5 linked regions of the Oryctolagus cuniculus genome follow. The protein of the gene in region 4 interacts with the protein of the main gene of each other region in a pairwise test. Links are inferred from orthologs where the notes say so. Each region holds a gene or a part of one and is shown on either strand. Other genes may lie near its edges. The genes, in order: MID2, PGBD1, YJU2B, ZNF24 and DZIP3.

Evidence for each region.
Region 1: the proteins of ZNF24 (region 4) and MID2 interact in binary tests that used the Homo sapiens proteins (3 or more experiments, as listed by UniProt). The two-hybrid records come from large-scale screens. The link is inferred for Oryctolagus cuniculus from reciprocal best matches to the Homo sapiens genes ZNF24 and MID2.
Region 2: the proteins of ZNF24 (region 4) and PGBD1 interact in binary tests that used the Homo sapiens proteins (3 or more experiments, as listed by UniProt). The two-hybrid records come from large-scale screens. The link is inferred for Oryctolagus cuniculus from reciprocal best matches to the Homo sapiens genes ZNF24 and PGBD1.
Region 3: the proteins of ZNF24 (region 4) and YJU2B interact in binary tests that used the Homo sapiens proteins (3 or more experiments, as listed by UniProt). The two-hybrid records come from large-scale screens. The link is inferred for Oryctolagus cuniculus from reciprocal best matches to the Homo sapiens genes ZNF24 and YJU2B.
Region 5: the proteins of ZNF24 (region 4) and DZIP3 interact in binary tests that used the Homo sapiens proteins (3 or more experiments, as listed by UniProt). The link is inferred for Oryctolagus cuniculus from reciprocal best matches to the Homo sapiens genes ZNF24 and DZIP3.

The regions. Positions count from the first base shown.
Region 1 is NC_091453.1:85,475,287-85,479,455, forward strand, and holds the start of MID2 (probable E3 ubiquitin-protein ligase MID2), read right to left. Parts: upstream 2,817-4,169; 5' UTR 2,724-2,816; coding exon 2,687-2,723; intron 1-2,686. UniProt on the Homo sapiens protein: E3 ubiquitin ligase that plays a role in microtubule stabilization. Mediates the 'Lys-48'-linked polyubiquitination of LRRK2 to drive its localization to microtubules and its proteasomal degradation in neurons.
Region 2 is NC_091436.1:153,741,317-153,745,498, forward strand, and holds the start of PGBD1 (piggyBac transposable element-derived protein 1), read left to right. Parts: upstream 1-1,370; 5' UTR 1,371-1,600; exon of another isoform or gene 1,601-4,182.
Region 3 is NC_091447.1:62,806,133-62,810,142, reverse strand, and holds the start of YJU2B (probable splicing factor YJU2B), read right to left. Parts: upstream 2,815-4,010; 5' UTR 2,658-2,814; intron 1,997-2,657; 5' UTR 1,821-1,996; coding exon 1,818-1,820; intron 630-1,817; coding exon 576-629; intron 1-575. UniProt on the Homo sapiens protein: May be involved in mRNA splicing.
Region 4 is NC_091441.1:42,258,291-42,261,806, forward strand, and holds part of ZNF24 (zinc finger protein 24), read left to right. Parts: intron 1-1,013; coding exon 1,014-1,552; 3' UTR 1,553-3,516. UniProt on the Homo sapiens protein: Transcription factor required for myelination of differentiated oligodendrocytes. Required for the conversion of oligodendrocytes from the premyelinating to the myelinating state.
Region 5 is NC_091435.1:64,435,414-64,437,593, reverse strand, and holds part of DZIP3 (E3 ubiquitin-protein ligase DZIP3), read right to left. Parts: intron 2,172-2,180; coding exon 2,028-2,171; intron 1,940-2,027; coding exon 1,838-1,939; intron 100-1,837; coding exon 1-99. UniProt on the Homo sapiens protein: E3 Ubiquitin ligase proteins mediate ubiquitination and subsequent proteasomal degradation of target proteins.

The sequences.
Region 1 (4,169 bases), on a different chromosome or scaffold from region 4:
AATACATAAAAGTGGAAAGAGAAACATATCTTGATCTTTGGAGCAGAGGGATTTTTTTTTCTAAAGGAAGTCTGCACAGGGGAATGATTGCAGTTGAGATTTCTCATCTCAATGCCACTCATCTGGCCTTCTCACTTATTAGGTGACCCAATGCACTGATTGAGAAACACTTTTCTAGTCTTCTCTGTACATTGCTCAATGATTTACACAATTTTTTGAGAAACCTGAAATACACTAATTAGACACCACTCTGTTACCAAAATTTCATGCACTGACAAGTAAATGGATTTGAACTCTAAACTTTTGAATATCCAGAATGAACATGTAACACCTCATATTTTGATGACACAGTGCTGCAAGTCAAAATATTCAGCTTAAATAAGCAGGCACTTCATAAACAGAAAGCCTCATTTTCCCCACTGAGAGGAACAAAATGTAATTGCTAATCAGAAATAGAGCACCCCCTTAACCACCAGTCACATTCCATGACCTAACACCTAGGAAGTTACCAAGATCCATAAAGACAGATCCACATGAGACATGTTCTGGGGGTACCACCAGAACAGCCATTTGAAACATATTCTGTGCCTCAGCTCTATCTTCACCGTTTCCATGGCTCTATGTCCCTACTGAAAAACAGAACTTGAGTTCTAAGGGATAAAATGAAAAGATAGCATTCCCTCCTCTTTCCCAAGCCAATGAGGTTTGCTGAGTGATAAAGATATACTCTTGTAGTTTCCATTCTCAACTGCTGTAGTGTCAGCAGATTTTATGGGGGGAGGGATGAGGGAATGGACAAGCTCACTACCCAGAGCAGTATCTGGATACAATTATGAGACTCCACTGGCACTACTTTAGGACCAGCAAGTTGGAGCAAGTTACCCTGCTCTTAGAGAAGGGATTACCTAAACCAATTTCATCTAAATCTATTTGCACTGTTCCGATACACTCAAGAAGCAACCAAGTCACTTTGAATTGCAGCAGCACTCTCTGGAGGAGGCCTTGTAAGGTACAACAGGCTAGATGGGAATTCTAGTAGTCACAAAAGTAAATAGGAGGGACAGAAGTAGCCCTTCCTGTACCTAGCCGCTATCTCTACCCTGCACAGCCCCTCCCTGTACTAATCCTGGAGCTGCAGGTATGGAGTTAGGCCTGGAACAAGCAGGAGGCCAAAATGCTGTGCCAAGTCTGGGGTCTCAGCCCAGTCAGCAAAGGACTATTCACAATAAAGGTGCTTAATAAATATTGTTGACTCATTGCTGCTAGCTGCTAATGATGCTTATAGAGCTATGCCTAAATTACTGTCAGTTTTCATTAGAAATTAACTAACTGTCACCCAAGTAGGCTAAAAAGGGGCAAGATTAGATTTTCAAAGGAGTCTGACTCAAATTGTGAGGTTAGAGTACATTAGATATGATTTAAGCACTTATATGATTTATACCATTATCTGTGTGCCAAATTGTATGTAAGTTTTTATTCAATTGTACACACATTGGGGAGAAACAGACTTAGGGTGTAAGTATAACAAATTTGGCTTCCAAAGGGTTAACAATGGCAAATTAAGGTTTCCCATAAACTAGGGTTCTTACTAATGCCCAATCCACTAACCCAATAAAAGGTAAATGAAGTGCTTTCTTTGAAAAGTATAATGCTGAGGATTTATAGAACTCTTTCATCTTCAAAGGACCAAGGCAAAACTCACAATACCCAACACACAATATTATGCCTTTTACAGAAGTGCACCAACTATGAAAGAAAGGTCATAGGCATGTGCTAAGGTCATACAGCCAAGGCAACATCAGATTTGTCATGAACTCCCTGATCTTCAGGTTTCCTAGACCTCACAAAAATCAATTTGTGAGGAACAATTAGGAGAAATCTAATTCACATTATGTGTCGGCATTAAAATAATTCATTGGGCAGGAATAAATAAAAATAGCAACTGTTAGGCCTTCAGGGCAGTGATGAGTGGAGAGGAGGTAGAAAGGGGAGAATGTGTGGAAGCGGGAATAACCATCTGGATAGAATGAAATTGCCCCCCAAAACGAAAAAAAAGTAGGGGAGGGGACCTCCCTGTTCAACAACCCCCTCTATTGGGAAAATTGCCACAGAACTGATCGGAGTACTGGGAGCAAACAGAAAAAGGGTTAAAGGCAGCCCTTATAACCCAACTTGAGATCAGACTAAGCAACCCACGCACAGTACTTGTCTATTACACAATTTCCAATACACTGTATTCCTTTAAAAGGGATCCTCCTTAAAGACACACAACCATCGCCATCCACCAGCCCCACATTCTGAAATCCTCCAAAGGGCAAAGTGGTTGAAAAAGCAAGAGGCTGCGTGGCTGGGGAGTGCACAGATTGATGGGGACAGGGTGAGCACGGAAGTGCCGGAAGGGCCATGGGGGGAGATCTCGATGGGGCAGAAATTTAGGTATTTTCGCCATAGGAAGAAGGTGAGTGATCCTGAAGGTGGTATGGAAGTGCGGAAGAAAGAGGGAAAGTGCTGAGCCCTACCACCCTAGGATCCCAATTTCCTGCTCTACAAGAAACGCCTCCGAAAAATAATGTGCTGCACACGAAGTGCTAACTAACCGAAACCAGCAATGTTTCTGTAAATCGACTCCGCCGTTATTTACTTAATACTTACGAGCAAGGAATGAAAAAAAAAAAAAAACACACACCTCTCCCTGATTCAGTCGCAGTCAGTCCTGTGGACATACGTTAAGTTTCCCCTCTCCCCCACACAGCTGCTTTCACAGCTAGGCCAGAAATAAGAAGCCACCCAGACGTGGAGGATCGCTCCGGCGGCAGAAAAGGGATTAAGTTTCGCCTGGCCTCCCCGCCGGCAGGGTGTCCGCGGCATCGCCCGCTGGCTGCTGGGCCAGCCCCGCCAGACACGGGCGCCTCCCGGGCCGACTAGGCTGCCGACCGCGGAAGCGTGGGAAGGCAGTAGTGCCCTTTTCCCAGACTCGCGCCCAGGCACCGAGGGAACGGCTCGACTGCCAGCGCCCAGCCCGGCGCGGCTCCGCTGGAGGCCTCGGGCCGCCCCCGCACCGCACCCTGGAGTACAAACTCCGTCCGGGGGAGGGGAGGAGGGGTGGGCGGCAGCGGCAGCAGCCCGTGCCCCAACGGCGGACCGGGGAGCCAGAGCCGGACCGGGATCCCGCCGCCGCTGCCTCCAGCCTCACGGGCCCCGTCACTCCACCCTGCCGAGCCCCGGAGCCCTCGGCCAGCGCCGGGCCCGGCGGCACCTGAAGAGCGGCCGCAGCCAGGGCCGAGACCTGAGTGGGCGAGGACACTAGACCCTTAGGGCCGCGGCGAGGGGGCGCGTTTTACCCATAGCGTTCCCAGGTGCCAGCCATCTCCTCCGCGCGCCAGAGAGCGCCGGGCGCTCGCTTGCCTCCGCAGCGAGCTGACTCGGGCTCCAGCGCAAGCTCCCGGGCCGCCGTCGCTGCCGCCGCCACCACCACTCTAGGCCGCCGCCCGCCTTCGCTGCCGCCTTCGCTGCTGCTGCCGCTGCCGCCGCCGCCGCCGCCGCCGCGCAGCAGCCAGGATCCAGCAGCTCGCGCGGCCCGCAGGGGACGGCCCGGTTGTCGCCTCGCTATCGCGGCCGGCTCTCCCCGGCTGAACTTAAAGAGTTTTCACTCCTCAGTCCAGGGGCAGCACCATGACACCACGCTAGCACCACATTGTCATTTCCGCCGCCGCAGAGGAAAAAAAAAAAAGGCAATCCTTTCGCAAAGGGGGGTGGGGGTGGAGAGGGGCAAACAGGGCTGGGGCTAACACCTCAAGGGAGCACTGGGAAGGGCCCCGGCAGAAGGGACCCTGGGCCACCTTCCAGGGCTCACCTTCCGCCACCCCCGCCACTCCCAGCTCCCCTAGCCCCTCCTCTGGAGGCGCATTACATGTTTTCTCCCCTGGCAGGAGTGACCAGAGAAACCTGAGCAGGCAAAGGCAGCCGGTGGGTGGGGTTCGGGTTACTACTGTACCTACCAGCTGATTCCAGCAGCCTTTTCTCCAGCGCCCTGGCATCTTGAAGGAAGGCACACGGAGAGGGGCCTGAGCGGGCGTGTGTGTGTGTGTGTGTGTGTGAGAGAGAGAGAGAGAGAGAGAGAGAGAGAGAGAGAGAGGAGAGAGCGCGCACAGAATGGAAATGCAGAAACA
Region 2 (4,182 bases), on a different chromosome or scaffold from region 4:
ATAATTCTGACTCTATGACAAGGCATGTTCACCTCTGCTAATTTTTCCACTAGAGTCTCCTTTTATTCTTAAAGAGCAGTGTCCTTGAAAATTTAATAGGGAATTGTATTTTTAAATTTTATTTTTAAATTTTAATTTTAGTTTGAGAGACAGTAAGAGACAGGCAGAGAAAGAGCTTCCATCTGCTGGTTCATTCTACAACATGCCTGCAACAGCCAGAGCTGGGGCAGATTGAAAGCAGAAATTTAGAACTCTGAGTCTCTCATGTGGGTAGCAGGTACCCTAGTTCTGCTGCCTCCCAAGTGCGTATCAGTAGGAACCTGGAATCAGAAAAGAAGCCAAGGCTCAAACCCAGATTTTCCGATGTGGAATGTGGGCATCTTAACTGCTGTGCTAAACACCTGCCCCTGTATACCAAAATTTCAAATGCACACGCCCTTTGAACAGGTGCACTGGTGCAATTGTTTATCCTAGAAATGAATTCACAAAAGAATGTACACATGGAATGCTGATGCCTACAGAATAGCTTGTACATCAACAGGGATATTAAATAAGTTAAGGTACACCCATAGAGTGGAATACTATTTAGCTGTTAAAGAATAAGTTGTGGGGGCTGGCGCTGTGGGGCAGCAGGTAAAAGCTGCAGCTTGCTCTGCCGGGATCCAGTGTCGTCACTGGTTCGAGTCCCGGCTACTCCACTTCCAATCCAGATCCCTGCTAATGCGCCTGGGAAAGCAGCAGAGGATGACCCAAGTGCTTAGGGAGACCCAGGTGAAGCTCCTGGTTCCTGGTTCCTGGTCTGGCCCAGTCTTGGCCATAGCGGCCATCTGGGGAGTGAACCAGTAGATGGAAGATCCGTCTCTCATCTCTCTGTGTTAACTCTGCCTTTCAAATAAATAAATGTTAAAAAAAAAAAAAAAAGAATAAGTTGTGTGGGCTGCAAAATTAAATTGTGATCCCGTTAAGCGTTTTAAAATACATATACACGAGTACTTTTTCACCAAACAAGAGGTTTATTAAATGCTATACACAAAACATTGACAGTAGTTAGCTCTGGGGAATGAGGCACTTTTGATTTTACCATCTTTGCACAAATTGATTCTTTACATATATAATCTGCATAAAATAATCTGTACAGTTTGCTGACCTGAACTATTGGTTGATCTTCCATTTCTGTGAAGACTCCCGAAGAGTGAGATTCGTCTTTGTGTTTGCTATTCTGTCGCGTTTTAACTGAAAGCCCCTCCGTAAACGTGTGACGCGCTCGGGCCGTGCAGGTGCCCCGGGCATCGCGCGTTGGCCCGAGGCCCGCGCGGGCGGGCGTGGGGCGGCGCTCCGCCCGACGCACCACAGAGAGGAGCGGCCGCGCTCCTAGAGAGGCGCGAGCCGCCGGAAGCTGCGCGTTGAGCGCCGGCACCGGGAGACCGGAGACCGTTGACTCTTAGCTCTGGGTGTGAGACGCGCTCTCGGCCCTTGTCCTCGTCGCAGGGAGCCCCGGGGAGACTCACCCGCCCAGCGAGACGCCGCGGCCCGGCCTCTGGGGAGACTGGCCGGCACCTCCCAGGCCTCCGCGTTCCGGTGGGAACGAGCCTTTCGCGAGGTCGGCTACATCTTTGTTGTGTACAGTTCCTAAACTTTAATGGTCTTTTAACCAGCAGTGAAACACACACGCTTATTGAGTGTCTACCGTGTGCCAGGCGCTATGCGAGGTGCAGGGGTGCAATCTTAGATACAGCCCGCCCCCTCCGCCCGAGGGTGCCCTGGCTACTGGCATCTCGGGTACATCTGCGTGCCTTCGTCAAGAAGTCCAGCAGTGTTTGTTGACTACCAGGTACGTGCCGGGCTCTTGGAGTATATAAGCTCCTGTGTTTAGGAGCATGTCGGGGTGAAGTGAAATGGAGAGAGGGGCGTGGCTTCAGGTTTGTATGGTACACCCCACCTCCACCTGCGTGGCCTAGAGACAGAATAGTTTTCCCGGTCTGTACTTAGTTGGCATTTGCCCTGGGCGTTGGGAGTTTACCATTGGAAGCACAGTGGTGGTGTAAAGGACAGAAGATGGAGACTTGTTGAGTAGCCAGCATGGCAGTGACTTTCGTGAAGGTAGAGGTGAATTTAAATGAGGACTTAGCTGTATGTCTGAAAATAATGAGGCACTCGAAAAGTTGAGATAAATTGAACCTGGGGGATTGAATTTCATCCAAGGAGAAGTATTCAGACGTTCTTTGAGAAGGTTGGTAGGAAAAGCAAACCTTGCAGTCATGCGACAGCAGTCAACATGGAAGCCTTCCTGCTTGACGTTTGCACTGACAGGTAATCAAGCAGTGAGTTCTGCGGCAGACACCAGCTGAGTGTGTGTCCTCTAATTCAAGTCGCATGTGACATGTTCTACCTGGAGAGAGTGACATCCCACGGGTTGAGGGCTCAGTCCCAGAGGACTGCGCCCCACTTCCTTATGTCAACCATAAGCACCAGGTGGTTTTTCTTGTGCTTCTGACGGACTGGCTGTAAACCGTGTTTCCATTACCCTCTCTTTGGATTTGGTTCATTTCCTAGGGTGGCTCACAGAACTCAGGAAAGCATACAGTGTTTACTGGTATATTGCAAAGGGTTTTCCCAGTGATGTGGATGAAGAGTTGCACAGGGCAAAGTATGCGAGAAGGGGCATGGGGCATCCACACCACTCTCCACATGTTCTGCTGTCCAGCAGGTCCCCAAATCCTCTCCTTGTGGGTTGAGGAGCCTTCATTACAGAGATTAAGTCATTGGCTGTTGGCCGTCAACTCAACCTTCAGCCCGTCTCCACTCCCCTGAGGCTGGAGCTGGAAGTCCTAGCACACTAATGTTGCCTCAGTCTGTCTGCTGACCACCCCCATCCTGAAGCTACTCAGGAGCTTCCAGCTGTCAGTTGATCCTAAGCATACAAAGAGACATCCTCACTTCCAAGATTTCACGGATTTGAGGACAAATACCAAGTAAATATTTCATAGTGTCACAGGAGGTGTGTTGAATGTTGTCAGAATTGTGCATTGAGAAACTGCTAATCCTGTGACCATATAGAGAAGGGACTCAAGCAGGTCTATCACACAGAAAATTATTAGTCCTAGTTAATTAAACTGATAGTAGGATAAAAGGAAAGAACAGCTGCAAGAGGCGTTCTGTAGAAAGACTTGACTGATTTTAATCCTAAATGCATGGAAGATGGCAGTGATATGAATAGAAATGGACAAATACATGGTGAAATACAGCCTTGAGGGGATTTCAGTTTGGGATCTATTGAAATTATAGTGCAGGAGAATCCTATAGCTGGAGGTATCCTGCTGGCATTTCAAGTTGTAGGTCAGGGAAGTAAAAGGTCAGTTAGAACCAGACAGAGATTTGGGTGGTTTTGGAAGAGATAGATATTGACATTGTGATAGAGATCACAAAAGGAGAAAGCAAGGAGAGAGAAAAAAGGAACTTGACGCGTGTGTACTGTTTCAGTTATCTTAAAGGAAACCCTAAATTTAGTGACTTAAAACAGTTTCTCAGGATCTGTAGGCTGAGTGGTCAATTGTACTGCTGGTCTCACTTGGGAGTCACTCATATACAAGGTTTTCAAAAAGAATGCAAATGCATATTATGAAAAAACTGTGCATAGGTAAAATTTTTGCAGCAAAATAAACTTAATTTTTATATTTTTAAAACATTTATTTATTTATTTGAAAGGCAGAGTTACAGAGAAGCAGAGAAAGAGAGAGACAGAAAAAGATAGTCAGATAGCCACAGTGGCCGGAGCTGAACTGATCCGAAGCCAGGAGCTAGGAGCTTCTTCCAGGTCTCCCACGTGGGTGCAGGGGCCCAAGGACTTGGGCCGTCTTCTCCTCTCCCCGGCCATAGCAGAGAGCTAGATTGGAAGTGGAGCAGCCAGGACTCGAACCACCACCCATATGGGATGCCAGCACTGCAGGTGGTGGCTTTACTCGCTATGCCACAGCGCCAGCCTCAATTTTATTTTGAAAGTCAGAGTTAAAAGAGGAAGAGAGAGAGATCTTCCATCCTCTGGTTCACTCCCCAAATGACTGTAGTGGCCCAGGCTGGCCAAGCCAACGCCAGGAGTCAGGAGCTTCATCTGGGTCTCCCATGTGGGTGACAGGTCCCAAACACTTGGGCCATTCTCTGCTGCCTTTCCCAGGCCATTAGCAG
Region 3 (4,010 bases), on a different chromosome or scaffold from region 4:
GGGGACCCCATGGGTGAGGGCCAACCTTTCTCGCCTCCCCAACTGGCAGCTGGAAGAAGCTGTGTGACCTTGGCCTCCGCGCCTCAGTTTCCCCGTTTATCTATTAGCTGGGGCTAACGGGCCTTTGGACCTCCAAGTTTTGGGGGCAGGGGTCGGGGGGCACCATGAGCCAGATCCCCATCCTGGGGTCATTTTATTTGCCCTCTTGACATGGGGCGGGGGTGGGGGAGGAACTGTGGCCTGCCCTAATCCCTCCTCTACGAGGGAGACCCAGACCCAGCCACTCCTGGCCACCGTGGGCGGGGTTTAAGGCATGCAGAGAGGCAACAGAGAACCAGAAGGTGATGGGGTGGGGGTGGGGGGGGGCAGGACCTCTGTGTGGAACGACCTAGAGGGAGGCAGAGGGGGCGACAAGGTCGCCATGGGAGCCCCACCCCCGCACCCTACCGCATCCTAAGCTCTGCTGTGTACATGCTGAGCCTGGCACTGGGCACGCAGGGGATGTCTCCAGCATGGCCACTGCAGCCCCCCACCCCCACTCCAGACACCCGGGAAGGCAGGAAGCCGCCCCTTACCTTCTCGGGGTTGAAATCGGGCGGGTAGTACTTGTTGACGCCTTTCCGTTCCCCCTGGAGGACAGAGGAGAAAGAAGTGACTCAGAGCCCGCCTCCGGGAGACCGGCAGGTGCACGCGGCCTCCGGGGATGGGGGGGTGGGGGTGGGGGCGTCTGTCTTCGCGCCAGAGTCATCTCCTACGCAGTCAGTGCTGCTGGCCCGTCTGACCCCCCACCCCTAAAATATCCCTGTGTTGTGATTGGCTGAATCCGCGGCCGTGGACCCTGTGGTCACAGAGGGGGAGGGGGTTGCCTCTGTCCGGTCCAGGGGCTCTGATCTGGCTGAGGGCCAGAGCCAGGGGTGGGAAAAAACCCAAGGTCAGTGTCACCGCTTTGGACAAGTCCAAGGGGAAGTTCAGACGCCGCTCATGGAGCCGAGGGCACCTGGTAGCAGCCAGACTTGGAATCGTGAATGGGGAGCCCTCCCTGGGCTCCCCATGGGGTCCTGCCCACCCTCTCCGGCCGGCGCCCCCACCGCCTACCAGGCGCCAAAGCGCCTGGCTCCACGGTGTACAGGAGCTCCTTGGCCTAGGATGGAGACACGTCGCTCTAAAGCTCTCAGAAATGGAAATTATTTTCAGTCAAAATGGGTTTAACGCCCGTCACCGCTCAGCAGCGCTGAATCCCGGCCAGGTCAGGGACCACCCTGCCCCGTGTTGCGGGCAATGATGCTGGGGGGGGTGGGGTCACGAGTGTTCAGACCCATTCTGGGGGAAGGTGGGTGTCTGGGGCAGTGCTTGGGGGATGCTGCACCCCCTGCCTGTCTGTGTGCCTGGTTCGAGTCCCGGCTGCTCCACTTCTGATCCAGCTCCCTGCTAATGCACCTGGGAAAGCAGCAGAATATGGCCCAAGTGCTTGGGCCCCTGCACCTGCATGGGAGACCTGGAAGAAGCTCCAGGCTCCTGGCTTCGGTCTGGCCCAGCTCCGGCCGTTGCGGCCATTTGGGGAGGGAACCAGCAGATGGAAGACCTCTCAACTACATAAACACTGCTGCCTCCACCCCTTCCCGGGAGATCTGGGCGCGCTGCAAAGCTTCGGAATCTGCAGCAAGACGTCCAGGCTGAGAGCTGGCCAGAGTGGCCGTGACCTTGGCAGACGCCGACTTGGGGGGGTGGGGGGTGGGGCCGGAGGAGCGGGACTCCCGGCAGGCCCGACAGAGACGGAGCCAGGAACCCAGGGAGCGCCCGGCCTTCCCTCCACTCACCATCTTGGTGGCTGCCTACTGGCCTTGGCCTTCAAGGTGGCCGACCCACAACGTGCTTTCTCGAGCCTGGCACAGGGGCCACGGCTTCCCGGGGAGGATCTCGCGGGCCGTGCGGCGGAGCCAGTTCAGAGGAGTCTCGGGCCCGATGGGGGAGGCATCCGAGGAGCCGCGTGCATCTCCTAGGGAGGGAGGGAGGGAGGGAGGGAAGGGTCAACTCCACAGCGGGCTACACGAGCGAGCTTCCTGGAGCACGGGATTAAAGGTTATGTTTATTCTGGTGCAAAAACACTTGGAATCCAGGGGCCAGCATCGCGGCATGTTAGGTTGAGCCAACGCCTGCTGCGCTGGCATCCCATGTGGGCGCCGGTTCGAGTCCCGGCTGCTCCACTTCCCATCCGGCTCTCTGCTATTGGCCTGAGAAAGCAGTGGAAGATGGCCCAAGTGCTTAGGTCCCTGCACCTGCGTGGGAGACCCGGATGCAGCTCCCGGCTCCTGATCAGCCCAGCTCTGGCCGTTGCGGCCATCTGGGGAGTGAACCAGCAGATGGAAGACCTCTCTCTCTCTGCCTCTACCTCTCTCTGCAACTCTGTCTTTCAAAAAAGCAAATCAATCTTAATTTGGTTTTCCGAGCATCATTTTACAGCGTCATTGGGCTTAAAGGCAAGGGCTCCCTTCCAAGGAAGACAAGGGCCCGCATCAGACGTCATAGGGGCCCAGGGTTAAGTCGGGGGTCGCAGCGGGGGCCCGGGGGACCTGGGTCGCCCGCCGGGCCCCGCACCCCTCCCATTCCGTGTCCGCCCAGGAGCCGGGTGGCCCCTGACCCCAAGAGCCCGCACTTACCTGCCCTCCTCTGACGTCACGCCGCGACGGTCCCGGAAGCGCGCCCTGGATCGCGGCGACTTGACCCCCTTGCGCAGGCGCCGGAGCGGGGCGGGGGCGGGGCGAAGCAGCAGCGCCGCGCTGATTGGCTGAGAGTCCACAGCCCGCGCACTCACAAGCACCGGAATGGAGCAGAACGAGTATTCCCCGCCCCCACGGAGCCACACCCCCTTTCCCCGCCCACTCCGCGCGAGGCCCAATCGGAGGCCTGCTTTCTGATGCCGCCCTCCCGGAAACGCCGCGTCCTGCGCTGCCGCCGCTGAGTGATGGGTGTGTGAGCTGCACAGGCGCTGGCTTCGAGCGTGTGTGCGCACGCGCCTGGCTGTGGGCTGCCCAGGCTCCGGCCTGTCGGCGTCGGAGACGTGTGGGTGGCGCCGACGGGGCGGTGGCCGGCGCCCGGTCCACCCTCGCCGCAATGAGCTGGGCGGCAGGTGTCTGCGCCAGCAGGAAAGACGGGGTGCCCTGGGACCCCGCCTGGCCGGGCCCTCTACGGGGCAGCTGTGCATCTTCCACTTCTACGAACGGGGAACCGGGTCCAGCCTCGGACGCAGGCGGCACACCGCAAAGCGCATGCGCAAGCACGCGCGAGGCCCCGCCCGGACGCCTGGGCAGGTTGTCAAGGCAACCGGGGCGGGGCCAGGATGCCGACTGTGGGTGCAGGCGGTGCACCGCAAAAGCATGCGCAAACACGCGCGGCCCTGACGCCGGCGCGGTTGTTAAGGCAACAGGGCGGGGCCTGAACGCCGATGGTGGGGCAGGAAGCGCACCTCAAAACGCATGCGCAAGCACGCGCGAGGCCCCGCCCGGACGCCTGGCCCGGTTGTCAAGGCAACCGGGACGGGCCAGAACGCCCACGATGGGTGGAGCTTCTCAAACGCGTTCTATGATTGGTTGGCCCGAAGCCAAGTTTCCGTCCATCACCACAGGCGGAGGCCGGCCTGGGTCCACGCACAGCGCTCGCTGGAACACGAGCGCTCAGGGCGCCCCGCTGGACAGGGCGCTTCCCCTCCCCGTTTCCTCTGTGGCCTGGGCGCTCCGGGTGGCTCTGGACGGCGTCTGTGCTTAGTGTCTCAGAGTGAGTCAGGGGGGACTCAGCCCACGCAGGGGACTCAGCCACGCAGGGACTCAGCCACTCAGGGGGGACTCAGCCACGCAGGGGGATTCGGCCACGCAGGGGGGACTCGGCCACGCAGGGGACTCAGCCATGCAGGGCACTCAGCCACGCAGGGGATTCAGCCACTCAGGGGACTCGGGCCACGCGGGGGACTCAGCCCACGCGGGGGGGACTCGGCCACGCAGGGGACTCAGCCCACG
Region 4 (3,516 bases):
GGGTGTTTCTCAGTGAGACTTAGAAATAAAAATTTTTCTCAGTACCATGATATATTTCAAACAGAGCGGATGCTTCTATAGAAAACCTTTTTTTTTTTTTTTATAAAGTTGACTTCTAAATTTTTTTTAAAAGGATTTATTTATTTGAAAGGCCGAGTTAGAGAGGGAGAGATATAGAGAGTTTCTATCCGTTGGTTTACTCCCCAGATGGCTATGATAAGTGGGGCTGGGCTGATCCGAAGCCAGGAGCCAGGAGCTTCCTCTGGGTCTCCCACGTGGGTGCAGGGGCTGAAAGATTTGAGCCATCCTCTGCTGCATTTCCAGGCACATTTGTGAGGAGCTGGATTGGAAGTGGAGCAGCAGTGAACTTGAACTGTTACCCGTATGGGTGCTGCAGGCAGTGACTCTACCCACTATACCACAGTGCCAGCCCCTATAGAAAACCTTTTACTTATTCAGGATGTTTTGAAATGTCGTGTCTTGAGTTAACAAAGGAGGCCCCAAGCTTGTCTTTAGCTCTTTTCTGGTCAGGATGCCCATGTTCTGCTTTTAATCTAATCTTTGCTGTGACTTACCTTATTTTACTCATTTTAGAAATAGCTTTTTTCTGTTTTGCTGTTTACATCAGTGATTTCTCCTTTTATCAAAGCGCAAGAACGTTATAACAGTTTCCTAATTTTTTCTTAACAAAGTTTGATCCAGGCCTAACAATATCACTATTCTACCTCACCATCTTAGCATCCACCATCTGTTTGTCCTTTGTTTTCTGACTGCCATTTACAACCTATTTGCTTAAGTTATATCTACAACTTTTACATCATTATGCTATTATCTAACCTCATAATTAGTCATTTCATTTTTTCTGTTTTGATAGTAGGCAACCTGAACACCAATTTTCAGAGTGCATTTATAGGTGTTCCTAACATACTTTTAGTTCATTAAAAAAAAAAGCTTTTCTTTCTTTCGCCCTAAAATAGGATATGAATGATATTTACATTTTCTGTCTATTTCAGATGATGATGCTAGGACTGAAAATGGAGCACTGGCTCCAAAGCAGGAGATCCCTTCGGCAGCAGAATCTCAGGAAGTTCCTGGCACTCTGAATATAGGTGTTCCTCAGATTTTTAAATACGGAGAAACTTGTTTCCCCAAGGGCAGGTTTGAAAGAAAGAGAAATCCCTCTCGGAAGAAACAGCATATATGTGATGAATGTGGAAAACATTTCAGTCAGGGCTCAGCCCTCATTCTTCATCAAAGAATCCACAGTGGGGAGAAACCTTACGGATGTGTTGAGTGTGGGAAAGCCTTCAGCAGAAGCTCCATCCTTGTGCAACACCAGAGAGTCCATACTGGAGAAAAACCTTACAAATGTCTTGAATGCGGGAAAGCCTTTAGCCAGAATTCTGGGCTTATTAATCATCAGAGAATCCATACTGGGGAGAAACCGTATGAATGTGTTCAGTGTGGGAAATCATATAGTCAAAGCTCAAATCTTTTTAGACATCAGAGAAGACACAATGCAGAAAAACTTCTGAATGTTGTGAAAGTTTGAGAAATTAAAAAAAAAAAAAGAATCAGCACTCAGGTCTTTTTCTTCAGAAATGAAGACAAAATTTAAAACATGAAATATTACATAATAGTTTTTTCCCTATTGACTGTCAGAAAATCCACTTGGAAATGTAAAAATATATTTACTCACCATTATTATTTTATCTTGAATGAAATGGTGTCATACCTGCCTAGAAACTGAAAATTTCAGACTAATTCAGGTATTAATACCTAAATTTTCCATGTGATGTTTATATTTTCTATTTCCAAATAATGAACTGCCTGGTTCTTTGTCCCTTTCTTAAAAGTTTCCTTTTTTAGACAGATTGTTTGTGTTGATCATTGAAATGTTCTTTGTAAGAATACATTCCCTTCTACATTAAAAGGCAACATAGAGGAATTTATGAAATCTGAAAACCATCTTAAACTTTTAAGATATCTTTTAAGAATTTGCCTTTCTGTTTCTTTTTACCTAATTCGAATATGCATTTAAGAAAATAGAAGATAAAAGATGACTAAAAACTTCAAAGTAAAATGAGCCTTAAGATCTCAGGTAAGAAGTGATGTTGATAAAACATCAAAAGTGAATGGGACATCTAGATTGGGGAAGATAATGCAAATACTTTGATAAGTTTATCTAAATGCAGTCATTCACCTGTAGGAAACTCGAACTACTCATCGTGTCTGTAATTTGGAAACATCTAATTAATGAATATAAGTGTTGTTCTAGGTATTACTGAAAGGTAGATAGTCTAAACGATAAATAATTGTAAAACTATAAAGGTAGAAAATACAACACTTGGGAAGAATTTGTAATAAATGCAGTGTTGAAGGGCAAATATGAACATAAAGGTAATGGTCTCTTTGGGCTGTTTTGCCTTCATCTTTGTTAAGGATAAAATTCCCTGACAAGTGGGCAACTAACAATCAGGTTTGCTATTTTTATTTCTTTGGTATAACAGAGTTGCACACCAGGCTAAAGAAGCAGCCCTGCATTTATTACACATTGTCTACAGACGAGGCACTGTGCTAGGTACTGTAATCCTACTTAGGTAGGTAGGTGTTTCTTCCACTGTAAATTGTTACGGGGTTTGGTACAAAGTTGTTGGGTGTGAGTTAGCCCCTTCCCCATGTCTGAACATTCCTCGGGGAGGTCACCTCTGATTTCCAGAGCCAGTGTGCTCTCACCAGGGTGTTGTATTGGGGTAGGACTCTACTTAAGAGCTAGCCGCCAGCTCTCCCACATATTTCAGAGGTGAGCCCAAGATAATTCTCTTAAAATAGTTTGGAGATTTGTAAATCTTAAACTAACCAATCTCAAGTAGCATTGGAGTTGTTACATATATGTTAAGTTGAATGGACTGTGTCTGTTTAAGAAATAAACAACTAGACTATTAACAGCTAGTTTATTAACTACCAGAATTGATCAATTTTTTAAAAAATTTTCAGTCTTAACATTTAAAAAAATGTATTAAAGTAATACATTGTAGTAGTAGGATTATTTACTCCTTGGCTGATAATCCCAAGTACTGTGGTTCTACTGTTTAGTGGAAAACTCTGGAAGTTGAAATATAGAATATGAGAAAAGGCTTTTTTTTATATATATATGATGGGCTTCATTGTGTGGAGAATGATCCATGTGAATACAAATATTACATAGTTCCAGAGATTCTGGATATATCTGGTACTTGGATCAAATTTAAAAATGGAAGGTGAGAGTTGCATGAGCCTATTAAAAAGCATAGTAATAAACTCAAGGCCAGTTGATGGAGATATGAGGCAGAATGGAGCTTGTTTATAGATTTTCTGATAATTATAAGAAATGTGCTTTATAGATTAAGATTTATTGAAGTATAAATATGTAGTATGATATAATGTATTTTAAGTTATACAAGAAATGTAGGGACTTTTGTTTGGGTCTTTTTCTCTTCGTGGCTGAGAGGAAACAAGTCAATGTCCAATAAAGCT
Region 5 (2,180 bases), on a different chromosome or scaffold from region 4:
CAACTGACGGCTGGGATGACCAGGGAATTCTTCTGGTAGCAAAACATGGAGTCTGCAGGTTGGGCATGTTCCCTGTTGCATCAGCCATGGTCTAATGCACTATGGAGAAAAAAGATTAATGTCAGTCTCTCAGATTTAGCCTAAAACAGACAGATGTTACTCTATACCAAGATTATCAATATAATTGTTAATATGAGAGAGAGGTCTTCCATCCAATGGTCACTCCCCAAATGGCCGCAAGCTGTGCTGATCATAAACCAGGAGCCAGGAGCTTCCGGGTCTCCCACACGGGTGCTGGGGCCCAAGGACTTGGGCCCTCTTGCACTGCTTTTCCAGGCCATCGCAGAGAGCTGGATCGAAGTTGAGCAGCTGAGTCTCGAACCGGCACCCATTTGGGATGCCAGTGCTTCAAGGCAGGGCGTTAACCCACTGTGCCCCAGTGCCGGCCCCGCCATGATAACTTCTACAAATATGATACCTCTCTGTGGTTTGCTGAGGTTATAAATAGCTGGTAGCTGCTAAACATATTTCAGCCATTTTATTCTATAAAGATTCTTTCCTCAGTCCCAATTTATAGGAAGACTAGCAATCCTTTCTGGTAAAGAGATTGAGGAAATTTGTTATATTCTCTCTACTTTATTTTCTTATACATTGTTCCTACTTATAATTCAGAAAAAGTTATAATTACAGACACAAAAGATACCAATACCGGGCATGAAGTACTTGTGGTGTTCTAAAGTTAAAAATCCCAAAATATAGTTCTCAGATTGTTTTATGAAAACAGTAGCAATCTTTGGCTGTGAACTACCTATTAAACTATTGGCTTGAATACTGACTCTCCAAGCACATATCATTTTTATCTGTATGAATAATGGATAGCAAGGTCAAAATAGAAATGATCAAGTATTATAAGGAAGGTTCACTAACTGAATGAATTATGTGTGTTCTGTTCAATGGCCAATGGCAAAGAATACAATAAAAATTTGTTAAATCATTTTTTTCTAAATGACTAGAACTTCTAAAACTTCAAAATGGGAAAGTCAGGTGGTTAAGTATCTTTCCTTGGAGATATTTTGGGATTAGCCATTTTCTGTACATCTCTTCATATTAGATGATGTGTAAAATATAATTCTACTGTGATTGTATATCTTTGAAATGATGTTTTACTACTATGGCTTGAAGGAGCATGCTATTGTTCACTTTACTGAGAAGACTTTCTTGGGTAGATTACATTTTCCTCCTTCAATTTATATCTCTGCAATACAAGACTCAGTCCATTAATTTTGTATCAGTTAACATGTGCACAGCCAGCAACACCAAGAAATAATCTACACAAATGCACAGAATCAACAAAGCCTAGGTCAGTCTCATGTTTTTCTAAAATCAAATCTCAAACCTACAAACACAGAAGACTGTTATGGTAACTCATGCTTCATAATGATAGAGAGCCATCATGAGATATAGACAAAGGATCCTATGTGTAATTTATATTATTTCAAGGTAAAATAGCACTGCTGCTAGTTCTGCCAGTAAAATTCCATACCAACCAACATGTCTCCTAGTTCTATTCAAGGGAATTCCGTCTACTTTGTACCATCTTATGTTATCTTTATGTTGTTCTCCTGGATGGCAAATAGAGATCTAAGAAAGCCTGCCACAGGCTATATAAAGAGGCAAAAGGTATGAATATTTCTGTGTGGTATACAAAATTACAGAATTATCCTAGTGGAATACATGACATGGCAATGATATATGTATGTGATTTTAAGTAATGCAGTACGGATCTCTCTTGGCTGATTAATGATAAAACATTAACAGAACAAGTTTAAAGAGTTACCTGAGAGTGAAATTTGTGAGCACAAGGCAAAACTGAAAGGTTTTCTGGAGACAGATTCTCATGACAGATCACACAAGGTTCTTCTTCCTCCTCCTCTGCCTCCTGGAGAAAATTTATACAATTAAAATTTATTTATTTATTTATTTTAACAATTTCTAAGTGTGTACAGAATCAATTATTTCAGTCTCACCAAGTTATTGGCTCCTTCCCATGTGGCAGAATCTTGTGAACTAAGAGGCCTCCAGGCTGCTTTTGGAGGCTGGGCAGTGTTAGATTGTGATGGAGAATGGCTAGGTGAAACACAATTACCATTTGGTACTGATTTTCCTTGACTCTGAAAAAT